Oreochromis niloticus: one gene and its partner. The protein of the gene in region 1 purifies or fractionates together with the protein of each later gene. This does not show direct contact. Links are inferred from orthologs where the notes say so. Each region holds a gene or a part of one and is shown on either strand. Other genes may lie near its edges.

Region 1 (6,940 bases):
GAAACTTGTTTGTTTTCAGTATTCCCTTTTAGTTTCATTCATGTAATATGGATTCTAACTCTAATGACAGCTTTACCTGGGCTGTTACTGACAGCTGTCAGAGCCTCTAGAGCACATTTCTGAACTTTCCCACTGCCAATGACATTCCTGAAAACTTCACTACAGCCAGCGGACGAGGAGAACGAGTCGCCACTGCAGATCCTCAGTAACGACAGAATTCCAGACACGATTAAATCCGGAGCGCAGGGGAGGCAGTCAGGATCCTGTGGGAGAGAGGGAGATTATAAGCCTTTCCATGTGTTAGAAAAAAAAGCTAACACCTTATAACACGGCCTGCGACTGAGGGCTTGTTACTTCTATCATTCAGATTTTATCAGAAATTACAATGTAATTATGTTTACATACAGCTACTTAATGCTAGGTACACAAGTGTACAGTACAGGAAAGAATTATTATTATACATGTTATCCCCTTATTCTAGTGTGCCTGGCTTTAATTGTGTGTATGTAAATATAATTACATTGTAATTACAAATAAAATACCCTAAAAAGTCTATTTTATTACAGAGGAATTAAAAATTATAAAGTGTTAACTGAAAAAGATCCAATATTTACTTAGCCACTCTCTCCTGTCCTTACACTCACCATGTGTGCGATCTGAGGTGTGTTTGTTAGACACACACTGATCATGGAGATGCAGGAGGTTTTGCTCTTCAGCTGCTCAGTCATGGCAAACCGATGCATGTCTCCTACAGGCCCAGATCTCATGTTACTCCATAGCATAAATGCAAGATAACACAGATTTTTCTCAAGAGTGTACGTCTTTGTGGGTCACCTGCAGTGTTTGTGCCTAGTAGGTTCTGGCCAGATATGATGTCGAGGGGTAGCAGCAGTAATCTCACAGACTGAGCTGTGTGGACACGGTCACTGCACATAAAACCAGAAGAAAAGGAACAATATTTTGTAGACAGATACTATAATGACAAATCCCCATGGGTTTTTAACAGAAAACCCAACCTCTACAGACGTTCGTGTACAGAGTTTGTGTTGGCTGAAGAAGCTGTGCTTACTGATGGCCGCCGCGGAGAAAAGCAGCTGCAGCATGGACGAGGTCAGCAGGTTTCCTGGCGTTCAACATGAAAGTTAAAAGACGGGTGATGCGTTGGTCTGGGAGGCGGCTGCAGAAGCAAGCACAGCAAGAGTCTATAAACTAAACCTGAACAGCAGCACAGTCACTAATGTATACTTAAAAACAACCACTAGGTAAATGCTGTGGATGATGGCTGACCATTACACTGTCCTGTGGTATTGCATAGATCAATAGAACAAAGCCATCGATGCTATATCTATTAGCAGATTTGCATATTCAGCCAGGAAGCTCCACTGTCCTCACCTTCCTCTTAAAGTCACTACTTAAAATCCAAATAATCTCTAGTAGAGACAAAAAAGGACAGACAACTCTATAAAGCGACACTCTCCTGTGTTTTATGAGGGGTTTACCTGCATGCAGCTAGAATGACATCCATCAGAGGCAGTGTGAGTTCACAACAATCTGCTGCCACCATTTCTTCCAGAGAAGCTGTGACTGTCTGCAGCAGCTTGTCCCGCAGAGGAGGCTTGGTCTGGCCCAGGAGCAGAGCCAGCAGTCTGAGAGTCTGCTGACACTGATGAAGCTGTGTGCTTCCCTTGGGAACCCCCAGCGCCCTCTTGAGGTACTCTGAGATTGCATCGACAACAGCGGTGCAATCTTGGTTTATTTCCATGGGCTCGGCTGGGTTTTCTACAACTGCTTTGGACGCACGTGTGTTCTGCTCATCTTCCTTCTTATCGGTGCCATTACATCCTACAGATGAGACAGGCTGACAGAAGAGCAGGACGTGGGCGAGCATTTGATTGGCAGCTGAGGCAACAAATAGGCTTGTGTCTGTCTGGAGTTGCAGAAGTGGCTCAATGAAATCTAAAAAAACCAAACAAATATAATACATATATATGAGGATGCATCAGAATTACAACAATATAATACCTATAGCACAGTGCCTCTCGCCCTATGGCAGCTGGGAATGATCCAGCCCCCAGTGACCCTGAATTTGATATGCAGGAGCAAACAAATGAAAGGACGAATAGAAATAGCATATTATCCTTAATACTAATGATCCCCCCCTCATGAATCGATGCAAAAAACTCACCTGCTTGTATAAAGAAACTAAGACCATTTGGATGCTGCAGTGTGGTCCTTAAGCCCTGGATCCAGCCAATCCGTATGCAGGGATCCTCCCAGAGCCCTAACTCCTGCCAGTGCTTACAGCTAAAGACAAGATCCAGAACTAAGGACTCCTGCAAGAGAGAGAGGGAGGCACAATGATAGGGCAGATAAGCATTGGAATATTTTGTAACAGTTTACTAAATACACCAGGCGTCAGAAGCTCTACCTTAAGAATTCTGAAGGCGTCCTCAGCAGCAGCCAATAAGCCGATGAGTCTGAGAGTGAAGGAGAGGACACCTGGGGCTGAAGCCGTGTCATGAATCACAGCAGATATGAACTCAAGCAGACACGGACAGGCCTCCAGCAGAGACTCCCCTTCAAAGAGTGAAAGAAAAGAAAAACAAGGATACAGATTTACACGGGATCACTTTTTTATGTGCACCATAAAGAGAAATGATAAAGGTACAAAAGACATGAAAAAGGAACATTTTAAATTTAAATTTATCTTTATTAATGCAATATAACATATATATAAGTATCTTTGAGTTTTGGGATCTTTTACAAAATGTAAATGTTATCTGCAAATATCGGTGATATAATCTGAGTAATAATCACCTACAAATACAGTGATTCGCTGCATGGTATTAAGTTTAGATCAGTTCTCTGGAGAATGAGGGCTCTTTAAAACACACCTTTCAGCTTTTCATGTATTTTGAAGCTGGTTTTTTTTCGGAGAACTGGAATGTAAATGTGCTTGTCTCTGTCTCAGCTTGTGTCGTTCAAATATGCTATAGGCTTTAAATCAAGCAGAAGTGACAGTCAACACAAAAAAGACAGTCATCACATGTTTGTTTCATTTACAAAATATTTGTTATTCAACCCAGGTCAGAGGGTTACACACTGAACTTAGAATATAGAAATAAAGTATCGATTAGATGGTATCGATACTTTTAACAATATAATATTTGAATTGATCCTCCTATTAGAAAGATAGTGGGAGAGGAGGAAGAATAAAGACACGATCCTGTTAGGGTCAGTACTACTAACCAGCCTCGGTGAGCGCTGTGAACCAGTCCAGCAGTTTCTCCAGAATGGTGTCATCGGGCAGCGAGCTCCCTGAGGCCGCCAGCACCTCACAGACCCGGGGCAGCAGTGACACACACTCTCTGTCCATGGGGCTAAGGTGTGCGTGTTAATAACCGCCGTTGCTAGCTTAGGTTTTTACAGCTAGGAGTTATATAAAGTCTACACATTATCTAACCACTCATGTGGATGTAAATGTGACCTCTAGCTAAATTATGCAGTACAGACCAAACTGAAGCAGCCACTTTAAACACACAAAGTCGTTGTTTTTTGTACTTTACTAAACGAACGTCTCGCGGGAAACAGTTTCGGATCTACCGGTGCGTCGTTTCCTTTTCCGTGCTTCTGGGCGGGTCTCACGCCGCTGCGCTCTTCGCTGATCTCTAAACATCACTGTGGGGGAAAATTACCACCAGTAGCTGTTGTACTTCCGGTCCCTATGCTTTACAGCTTTACTGCTTCTGCGCAGCCTTTTCACGCGCCTTTGAGGAGGTTCCGGTGTCGCGTTTCCGTCACGTCGTCCATTTTCACGGATCCGCACATGGTGCTGCACCGGCTGAGGATCGCCAGCCTTTTCGTTTTCGGGATTTTTGCTCCGCTGTAGACAAAAGTCCGTGTTGTAGTTCTGTTAAATGAAAGAAACGGTGGATATGGTGGACGACCCCGAGTATGAAGAGGAGGAGCCTTCCTTCAGCGACCCGGAGGACTACGTGGACGATGTGGATGACGACGGTAAGTAGTCACAGGAAAAACGCCGGCTTTCCGGCCTGCTGTTAGCAGTTAGCTAAGAGCTCAATGGTGGGGATGTTTTAGATGCTACAAAGCTAGTTAGCTAGCCTCTCTGGTCACCGGCACGTAGTAATAGTAAATAGTGAACAGTGACCATGAGCTGGATGCATAAGCGTAATTACCAGGAATACAACAGCGACACCACCCTTTTTCTCCAAAAAACTCCCAACATAACGTTATCACAGTGTACTTAACGCCCGTTAAAGCCTCACCCAGACCCCACACAGCCACTCACTGGGGCCTGTGCGATACGATCTGAAAAACCGAAACAGGATTTTAGCTAGTAAAGCCGTTAGGGCACATTATTTTCTCTGTGCTGTTTGCTTATATAAAGTAGTTTAAATGGGGCAGCTGGTTGTAGCTCAATGGTAATCCTAACCCAGGTCTGAGGGGCGTTTGCTCATTAGAGCTTTTCAATTGTGCAAGTTTTGCAGTTGTGGTAAAATGACTCATCAGATACACGTGTTTTGTACTTAGTAGTCACAATATAATTATTTATGTATAGTAGAAACCTTGGGGTAAATTTACAACAAAATTGGTACCATTTAATATTAATTTGCTGAAGTTAAACAAGGACACAAATGAAATAGCTTCTGTGAAGCTAAACACGCCAGCATAGCGGTTCTTTATCCTTATCAAAATGATGTGTATTAAGCAGTGAGTGTAAAGGAGATGTACTATTGAATTAACTTTATTATGATGTAATTATATTTTGTCTACTTATAAATCATGAAGCTTAAACCTGCACATCTCTAAAGAAAATTTAAACAAAAGAATTGTTTGTTTCAACGATGCAGTCTTCCCTTCCAGTAACTGAAGTGGTGGCTATAAAGTTTAGATTGGTTCATGTATATGAAAAGAAGGTCGACATTAAAATGAGATGAGAACCCCAACCCCACACAGTCCTATCAGCTTGTTCATCACCCTGACCCTCCTCCTTCACTTTTCAGAGCTTCTTGATGACATCCTGAGGGAGAAACCCCAGGAGGCAGACGGCATAGACTCGGTGGTGGTGGTGGACAACGTCCCTCAGGTCGGCCCGGAGCGTTTGGAAAAGCTCAAGAACGTCATACACAAGATCTTCTCCAAGTTTGGCAAGATCACGACTGAGTTTTACCCAGAGGCGGATGGTATGACCAAAGGGTATGACCGCAGTTGTTTTCTTCTATGTTCTTTTGTGCATCTATTTTGATTCAAGGTGGATTTCCGGATTTGAAGCAGAGTTTTTGTTTTGTTTTTTAGTAATTGTTTTTTCTCCTCGTTTACAGTTACATCTTCCTGGAGTATGCTTCTCCTACTCAAGCCCTCGAAGCAGTCAAGAACGCAGATGGATATAAACTCGACAAGCAGCACACGTTTAGGGTCAACCTCTTCACTGACTTTGACAAGTGAGTATGCAGTACCACTCAATGCATTGTCCAGGTATTGCTTGCCAGACTTGGAATACAAGTAAATAATCGTACCTTTGTTTTTCTCAGATACATGAACATCAGCGATGAATGGGAAGCTCCAGCAAAGCAGCCTTTCAAAGACTTTGTAAGTGTTACCTTAACTTTTCAGTCATAATATAATGAATCAGTTTATAACACTTAGAATTAGTTTGGCAAAAATAGCTTCATGTCAGCACTTTCATTATTAAGTTGACCTTCATAAATCGACAGGACAGTCTCTATCCTGAAACCGTGCAAGCGACAATAACTCTGTTTGTGTTTTCAGGGGAATATGCGCCATTGGATCGAGGACCCAGATTGCCGTGACCAGTACAGTGTGATTTATGAAGCTGGAGAGAGGACTGCCATTTTCTCCAACGACGCTAAAGAGCCAATCACAGTTGAAGAGAGAGCGGTGAGTTTTTAATTACTCACGCAGAGTTGGTGGGAAATGCAGGGCTCGTATCAAACATGACTGGTCAGTAGTCACTGGTTTGGAGAGTTCTGATGTTTTTCCTGCTTTGATGCAGCGCTGGACAGAGACGTACGTCCGATGGTCTCCTAAAGGTACCTACCTGGCTACGTTCCACCAGCGGGGAATTGCACTGTGGGGCGGCGAGAAGTTCAAACAGATTCAGAGGTTCAGCCATCAGGGTGTGTCCCTCATCGACTTCTCACCATGTGAAAGGTAATCAAAAGTCGACTTTAATCCAAAGAAGCACATTATAGTTATATTATAGAGTATCCCGTTCAAGTGTTTATTCATTAGTGATTTATTTATTTCCTGTAAATAAGGCAACGTCACCTAAATCCTATGGGTTGTTGCACCATGACATGGGGACAGCAAAGGATGATTAATGTGCAGATAAAGCACTCTAAAGAGGTGCCGAGTTGGCCTGTGAGCCACAGTCTGAGCTTAATGTGTGGTTGTGCTGGCTTCCAGGTATGTGGTGACCTTCAGTCCACTGATGGACACCAAGGAGGACCCACAGGCCATCATCATCTGGGACATTCTGACCGGACAGAAGAAGAGAGGGTTCCACTGCGAGAGTTCTGCACATTGGCCTATTTTTAAGTCCGTATTATGCTTTCTCTCTTTTAAATCTAATTTAAATCAAATTTGCTGCTTCTTGCAGAGTTTGGATGTGTCTTCTAATTTTACATGTTTGTTATCAGATGGAGCCATGATGGGAAGTTCTTTGCAAGGATGACACCAGACACACTGAGTATCTATGAAACTCCGGTAAGTAGGCCTGAAAACAGTCTAGATGCGTTTAAATGAAATGTTCAAATGATATTAAAGGTTTATATTTTGTTTTGTTTTTTTCTTCTTGTAGTCTATGGGCTTGCTGGACAAGAAGAGTCTCAAGATTACTGGGATAAAGTAAGAGTCCTTCATGCGCTCATGCTTTAAATTGTGACCGCATTTTGTGTAG
Region 2 (7,939 bases), on another chromosome or scaffold:
GTGTTTTGAGGTAGCAGCCAAGAAAGGTGTAGTTTGTGTCTGTGAGCACTCGTGTGTACACCTGTGAGCATGAGCGCGCTTGTATTCAAAAGGTTCCTTCGTGTAACGATCTGCTAGAGGGTGTGGGGAGCCATAGCCCCGTCCCCCAGGGCGTGAAGCAGGTATGGAGGAGATCCACTCTCCAGACATCCATAGGCCCCCAGAGCGCACGAGTCCAAGGAAGACCAACGGAGGGGCAACCATGCCACCCTCCTGGAAAGAGCTGAGGAGAGCCCCAGACAAGGGGTCACCCAGCAGCCATGGAGCAGAAGCCAGAGGGGGCTGCAGTGACGTGCCCGTGAGCTAATTCTAATTCTAATTTTAAATATAAATGATAACCTTGTGCTCCTTGAGGTTTTCTACCACCATTATTATCTGTCTTATCTGAGATAAGGCTAAGTGGGAACAAGAGAAAAGAGTGTCAGTGAAGAACACCATGTAGACTGTCTATCCACCTCATAGATAGCCAGCCAGATAAAATCCCCCTACTTCCTCATGTCAAATAAGTCATGTCACACATACCTACTGTATTGACTACTTAGGGCGGATTGTATCTGTGATGTCTCCACACAAACTTGATAGACATCAGTACTAAGGTGGACCTTAGTTGACAAATTCTCTCAAAGTAGGGTCAGTAAACGCCAACTTGAAAAAGTTTCTGCAAGTCATTATGTTTAAAACCAGCTGTAAACTGTTCACTGACCGTGCTGACAGCAGGGCAGCAGTGAATGATCGCAGGTCTGCTTCCATTAGTTTGTTACGGGACCTCTCCATCCATCTGCTCCTGCTCCCGCCCAGCTCCCGCTCATTTATGCAGAGTGGCCACAATTTACAGAAGGCCATTTTGTCTAATGGATACCATTCATTCATTCCCAGTGTGCTCTTTGGCAGGCGCTCACCAGAGTGCATTAGGAAATTAGTCCACTGCGAACGCGGACGCCATTGGAGATGAACGGCAAGATCAAAACCTGTCTGACTCCCGGTGATTCAGTCACTGCCATAGAGCTGATTTTGTATTCTGTGTCTGTCGGCTATACTTCAGTTGCTCCATCGGTAATGACACCATTTTGATGTGAAATTGGCTACTCGGATTCACTATTAGAGAACTGTGCCATCTTCCCTCTGTTTGACATATTGAATCCCACCGTAATAAAATGATTACCAAAGAACAAGACACAGGCCTGTAGTGGATATGATGAGTAATGCCTTTATGTAAACACTAATACTATTTTCAGCCAACGGCACCAGCAAACACTGTTATACCTCCTGATTAAGGACTTTTTGATGTACAGGAACTCAATGTCAAAGAGGATCCTCATTTCCATAAGCTGGTTTTAGGTTTCCCCTGCAATGTGATTCATGGATTAGCAATAGTGTTTGATCTATATGACTTGGCAGGGGAAGGAAACTTGATCAATAGACTGACTCTGTGGGTGTATGTGTAGCTGCCCTTCAGGGAGCTGAGCAGTGTGCCAGAAGACAAACTAAGCACTGTGACAAGAAAGTGCAGCGTCATCATGGATTTCTCCTCTGTAGACTCTATTTGATCTAAAATGCCTGTCAGGTTTCATTAGGTAATTGCCCTCTACATTGTCTCTGAGCTACTTTGCACTTTTTTTTCATCTGCTCAGCTTTGCTGATTCAGTTCAGAATCATTTAAATCTCCTGCAGTGACTAAATTTAGACCTACCTGTATTCATCAAAAGGACACGATAGATACTGATCTAAAGATTTAGAGATCTCTAATTCTTTGCTTTTCTAGTAAGAAGTTAAGTCTATCAGCACAGAGTGCTGTTTGTATTGTTTTTGCTTGACTGCCATATTGCTCCATCATAGCTTTGCTGGGCTTTACAGTGCTTTCACACACAATGGGAAGAGCAAAACCCCTATCCCTATGTTGGAATTAATGCTTTGTGGTTATCCAGGTGTCTCCCTCTAACACAGGCATAATAGGTAGTGAAGGTATCAAAAAATGTGTTGCCCAGGCAGGTGGGTAAGATATAACACATTCAGACCAGGATATAGTGTTGGGCTGCAGCCAGGTAGGGGATAAGAGCTGCCTCTAGCATTTAGAACCAGATGTTACCTCATGAATTCTTGTCCAGGAATCTGTGACTCATACTACACCGCCCAACCACACAAAAAAACGGCAACAAAAAAAAACGCAACAAAAAACCCCCAGAGAACTTGTGGATACTGCAAAAAGAAAAGGGAAAGAATATGGAGAAGTGGTGGGGGATAAATCATGAAGCATTTGACAGGGGGAGGGAAGGATGAAGGTGGGAAGGATTAACAGATGGATAGATGGCAGATGAATAAGGTAGGTGGAGGAGCTAGTGCAGAAGCGAGTGCTTTTTTCCCCCTTCCCCTCCTGACTCTCTCCATCCTTCAGTGTAAATGGAATGACAGGCTTCATCGTGGGGGAAATATTTCAAAAGTGCGGCTGAGTGAAGAGGCAAAGCAGAAAATAAACAGGATGGATGGCAGACGAATCAAAGCCTTGGACTGATGAAAGTGCACCCAATATCCTGTCTGTCACTTAGCAGAGGAGGCCGGCTGCTTGTTAGGACAAGAGCCTCTGCAGCTGTGAGTGTACATACATTTGTGGCGCTGAAGTGGGTTTATATGTGCGTGTTGAAGTCAACTGACTGCATGTATGTGGGTTTTTTAATACCATTTAAGCACCATCCAAGTCTTTTTTCCCCTCTGTCTCACGCACAAGAACTTTTCAGTGAAAGCACATGTTTGACACAAAGGTGAGTCTTCCCGATTGAATGAGTTGGTGTCTGATGGGTGAAATATGTCTGGCCCAGCTACACCTACGATAGGGAGGGAGGAGGGCCTTGGGTAGAAAAGTAGGAATCTGTTCCTCTTTCCTGTGTTGTTAAAAGCTTCATTTTCTCCACGTAAAGCGCTGTAAGGCTGTAAAAGCTCTCTTTCTGGTTCTCCTCCCATTGCAAAACCACAAACCCATAGCTGCATTTACACAGCATTTACACATTAACACGCACATTTGTATTTGCACCACACATTTGCACATACATGATGCACGCATGCTCACAGAAGTTGCAGCTCTGCCGATTACAGCAATAAACTGATCAGTGTTTGATTTACTTCATGTGCCACAGGACCTCAAATGCATTTAATTTGGCACAAGAAAAATGTGCAAGAAGGACTATGACAAATGGTTATTCCAAAGCAAATGATGATCCATCTTCACTATTATGATCCATCTATTAGAATGAAAGTAAGAAGTGGTTGTTTCATTTAGTAAACCTGAAGAGATCCTGTTAAAGTGTGGCATTGCTCTTCATATTAAGTGATGATCTTTTTTCTTTTAAAGCTGTTAAAGAGAAACTTTTCAACTATGGTTGTAATTCCAAATGAAAGGTTCACTGTCAGTAATGACTGAAATTAATTCAGCATTTCAAAATGACAGGATGGCTCACAGTGATACTGACTGATCCAGTGCTCTCAGTTCTACTGTTATAATCCATTATAAATGTGTGGGTTTTATGGGTGTTTTTCTCTGTCATTACACAAACTTGCTACTGCTGTTTTTCTGAACTTGAAAAAATGCAGGTGTCTCCTTGCATGTTTTAATGCCAGGTGTGCAATAGCTGCACACGTGTATGCTGAAATACATAAAGTAAAAACTCCAGGATCAGTCCGATTGTTTTGCAGGTGTAAAATTCATTGATAAGTTAGAAGAATTGGTGATTGTGTTGGATGATGGGACCTCCTGACACCTCTAAAGGAACACCCTTGGGCCCCAAACCCCAGGGTGGGAACAATGGGCATACAGTACATTGTTTGCTAGTGAGAAATTATCTCCTATAATGATCTCATGGGGAGAAAGACAGTAGCTGTGGTTCATTTTGATGATGAAAATTCATTTGACATTTAGGCTCCAATTTCCTACAAGTGGGAAATAAGAGGGTACTCGCTTAATTGGTGTGCTGCACTATGGTAAATGTCACCGCTCATGTAGAACCACGTAGAGCCAGACATGTTTCTTTAATACTGCAAGGTGTCTGTATGCCTGGTCAATGTCTCCCCCAAGAGGCTGTAAGTTGAACAGCAAAATAAAAAACAGCCACACAGGGCTGCTGCACGCAGTGGACGCTTTTTGTACACTTATTATTATCTGCATTTAAAGTGTATTTTCATTCATGTCCTGAGGAGATCAAAGCTGTATAGTCTGTGTACCTCTTGTTTCTAGAAATTCTAATATGCTTATACTGTATATCTTATTAAATTATCTAAATTCTCAGCAGTATTGGGCCCATTTCCTCCACCAGATCAAAAGCTGAAAACAACAACAACAACAAAAAAAAAACCAAACAAAAAAACTCCCTGACATGACAAGTATGGAGACAGTTAAGGGAAAATATTCCCTGCTGTTTTAGTATTCAAGAAAAAAAAGAAAGAAAAAATATATAGACTACAGATAGTTCAAAACTTATATATATAAAAAACAAATGTATGAAAGGCCTCCATTATGGAGCTATAAATGTTCTTACAAGGCTGCTTTGTACTTATTGTTGTTGAACCAAAGCGACTATCATTAATGTTATTAAGTAGCTACACCATGAGACTAAGTCTGCCTGTAGTGCTCCAGATTAATGACATTTAATGACATTTAGTCAGGGGAAGAGCACAAACTATAAGTGTAGATTGTTAAATTATAAGTAACATTCGTCCACCATAATTTTAAAGGTTTACTGGAGTAAAAATGTTGAGGTAACTGGAGTACTGGGCCTCAAAAAACATTCACATAAAAAGACGAGAGGCTCTCGAAACTACACTCAAGGACGTGTGAGTTGCGCTCAGCTCAGCGCAGACTGCGCAACTTGACGCTTGTGAAGTTCCGTGTGTGTATCGCTAACTCGAGCTAATTCATCAGCTAGCCAACCTTGCGCAGTGTTGGCCAGGTAGACGTACAATGAGAGATATTCCGGATAAATCGAATAGCAGTTAAGTGTTCGGCATTGTAATACAAACACGTAAGTGATACAAAGCGACTTTGCCTCCTTGCTATTGGGTTGTCACGGGAAATAGGTTAACATTAGCACTAGCTTGAGCTAATCAAAACAAGCACGAAACACTCACGAGGCTCCGGTTTCACCTATTACACCGCAACTACACGGGCGTGTCCGCTTTTGTATTAGTTGTGTTAAGAAGTATGATGTATGTTTCCTAATAACTAGCAAGCTTTGCAGCTTGTTTTATTAGCTAACCAGGCACGTTAGCTAGCTGGGACCAATGTCAGTTAATAACATTAACCTGGTGTTTTATCAGATTAGCACTTGCATTCCTTCTTTCCATGTGTACTGTTTACCTTGTTGTTGTTTTTAGATACTGGTTGTTTAATAACCCGGAATGTTGCATTGAAACCACATATGTCGCCCTCCCCCATGCAGATTAGGCCGTCCAAATGGTGGTCATATCAGGCACAGCCACTGTGCTGCAGCAGTTTGTCAGTGGACTGAAGAGTCGAAATGAAGACACTCGAGCAAAATCTGCCAAAGACCTGCAGCACTATGTGACTACAGAACTCAGAGAGGTAACAGCAATAACCTATATGTGCATAATTGAAAGCTGTCATGGGAAAACCACTTAGTATACTGGATACTTAATCAAGATTGTTGCCCACTACAGTTGGAGAGTTTCACAAGTCATATGGTACAAATTCATGTAAACAATTCCTTCCTTTTTCCATACTTGCTGTTTTGACACTTGTCCCACAGTTAAGCCAAGATGAAGCTACTACGTTCTACGATGAGTTGAACCACCACATATTTGAGCTGGTGTCCAGCTCTGATGTGAATGAAAAGAAAGGAGGGATTCTTGCCATAGGTAAGCATTAATAAAAGGTTGTTAAAATTGTTATATTTTTAAGCGCTGTTAATTTTGGACTTATTTAAGATCTCTTATTTTCTATCACTTTAAAATGATTATTGTTTTCATCAGTGAGTCTAATTGGAGTTGAAGGAGGCAATGCCACCAGGATCAGTCGATTCGCCAACTACCTCCGCAACCTGCTCCCTTCCAGCGACCCCGTGGTGATGGAGATGGCCTCTAAAGCTATGGGCCACCTTTCTATGGCGGGGGACACCTTTACAGCTGAGTATGTGGAGTTTGAAGTGAAGAGAGCTCTGGAATGGTTGGGAGCCGACAGAAATGAAGGGAGACGCCATGCTGCAGTAAGTCACTAGCAGACAACAGTCACTGTGGTGTTTGCTGTTCAAATAAAACCACATATTGGTGGTGTTTACATGTGCTGGAAATGTGGGCACGTTGGGAGCTGTAATAACTTTATCTATTGCTGTAGTGAAGGCAGTGTTGAAAGTTGCTCTAGTGTATTTTGGGTTGAAGGCACAAGTAGTACTTCATATGCACTCTCATACCCCAAATATCAGCACATTCTTGTTCTGTTTTCCCTGCTAAAATGTTTCCTTTATAAATCTGCTCATGCCCTTGTAACCGTTTCATTAATATTTTCCTCCTTGATGGTTGCATCAAGCAGTTGTTGTTACATAGCTGTTGTTATGCAGCTGCATGTGGTTTAAAGGTCTAAAATATGTGGCCTCTGCTCTCTGGCTACAACTTGCTTGTGGTGTTGGAGTGAGCTGGAGAGTAGTGAAGCTTCCTAAAACATATTTTTAAAAATTTTCTCAATGCCTACATTCTGAAGTGCACAAACATGTTTACACCTCCGCACAACGCAGTGTTCAAGGTGCACCTTTGCTAGATTATGTGTGCATGCAACCAGGGTGAATCCTTCATCCTCTTCACTGTGGCCTCTTTGCTCTGTTCTGTGTGCGTGTGGGTGGGTGTCGCCCAGCTGTGGCATCAGCAAAACCTCCCAGGAGAGAAGCTTGATGAGATGTTGATGCAACCCGGTCACTATGTTTTTATAGAGTACCGACCCCAGACACTGTTATTATTGGCTGGGGCATCACACGCACAGTCCAGAACAATCCTGAACATAGAAATAATTAGAAATCAGAGAATGTGCTTGCCTTTGCTGTGTTTTATTTAGCTTATTATGCAATTACCATTTTCACATTTTTACTGGCTGTAGAATATTAAATCTAGTTACTTTCCCCAGAATGTCCACATGATGTTGTTGGGAAATAACTATAAAAGAGCACGGAGATATGGAAAAGGGAGATGAAAACCAAATTGGCAATAAAAAAACTAAAATTCATGGTTGAGCTGCAATCAGTGCCAGAAACAAAGAACACAACAAATCCATCCATCCATTCGCTTCCGCTTATCCTTTTTAGGGTTGCGGGGGGCGATTGAGCCTATCCCAGCTGTCATAGGGCAAGAGGCGGGGTACATCCTGGACAGGTAGCCAGTCACAGGGCTAACACACAGGGACAGACAACCATTCGCACTTACATTCACTCCTATGGACAATTTAGATTTTTCAATTAACCTATCCCCACAAAGTGCATGTCTTTGGACTGTGGGAGGAAGTCGGAGTACCTGGGGAAAACCCACGCAAACACGGGGAGAACATGTAAACTCCACACAGAAAGCCTGATGGTGGAATTGAACTCAGGACCTTCTTGCTGTGAGGCAACAGTGCTACCGTACTGTCCACACAACAAATCCTACAAGCTAAAAAATTTAAGTGATCAAAATGCACTAAGCATGGGTAAACGGTCAGAAGAACACACATAGGATTGGTTGTGTAAAGAGATCAGTGATTTCACTCCCAAGTTGAATGTGTTCCAGCAGTAAAATTGAAAAAGTAAAGAAAAACAGGATCTTTTTTGCTCCTTAGCAAGATGGAGCCATTCATGTATCAGTAGGAACACAGTGTGGTCAGTGCTCTAATTATTTAATGAGTCACAAATACATTGCAGTGGCAGTACAGGTGACAACA

Evidence for each region. Proteins that work in one complex are often made in the same cells at the same time.
Region 2: the proteins of eif3ba (region 1) and mtor purify together in Homo sapiens (affinity purification with western blotting; 3 studies listed by BioGRID and IntAct, with this or other methods). This does not show direct contact. The link is inferred for Oreochromis niloticus from reciprocal best matches to the Homo sapiens genes EIF3B and MTOR.

What each region holds. Positions count from the first base shown.
Region 1 is NC_031971.2:13,426,038-13,432,977, reverse strand, and holds the start of eif3ba (eukaryotic translation initiation factor 3, subunit Ba), read left to right. Parts: upstream 1-3,878; 5' UTR 3,879-3,917; coding exon 3,918-4,017; intron 4,018-5,024; coding exon 5,025-5,217; intron 5,218-5,342; coding exon 5,343-5,462; intron 5,463-5,552; coding exon 5,553-5,610; intron 5,611-5,790; coding exon 5,791-5,919; intron 5,920-6,034; coding exon 6,035-6,192; intron 6,193-6,447; coding exon 6,448-6,579; intron 6,580-6,680; coding exon 6,681-6,747; intron 6,748-6,841; coding exon 6,842-6,888; intron 6,889-6,940. Other genes in the region: integrator complex assembly factor BRAT1, read right to left, coding at 77-263, 645-748, 835-926, 1,070-1,177, 1,500-1,956, 2,186-2,333, 2,429-2,577, 3,250-3,376.
Region 2 is NC_031984.2:28,352,430-28,360,368, forward strand, and holds the start of mtor (serine/threonine-protein kinase mTOR), read left to right. Parts: upstream 1-4,872; 5' UTR 4,873-5,015; exon of another isoform or gene 5,016-5,045; intron 5,046-5,462; 5' UTR 5,463-5,476; coding exon 5,477-5,605; intron 5,606-5,789; coding exon 5,790-5,898; intron 5,899-6,012; coding exon 6,013-6,245; intron 6,246-7,939. UniProt on the Homo sapiens protein: Serine/threonine protein kinase which is a central regulator of cellular metabolism, growth and survival in response to hormones, growth factors, nutrients, energy and stress signals.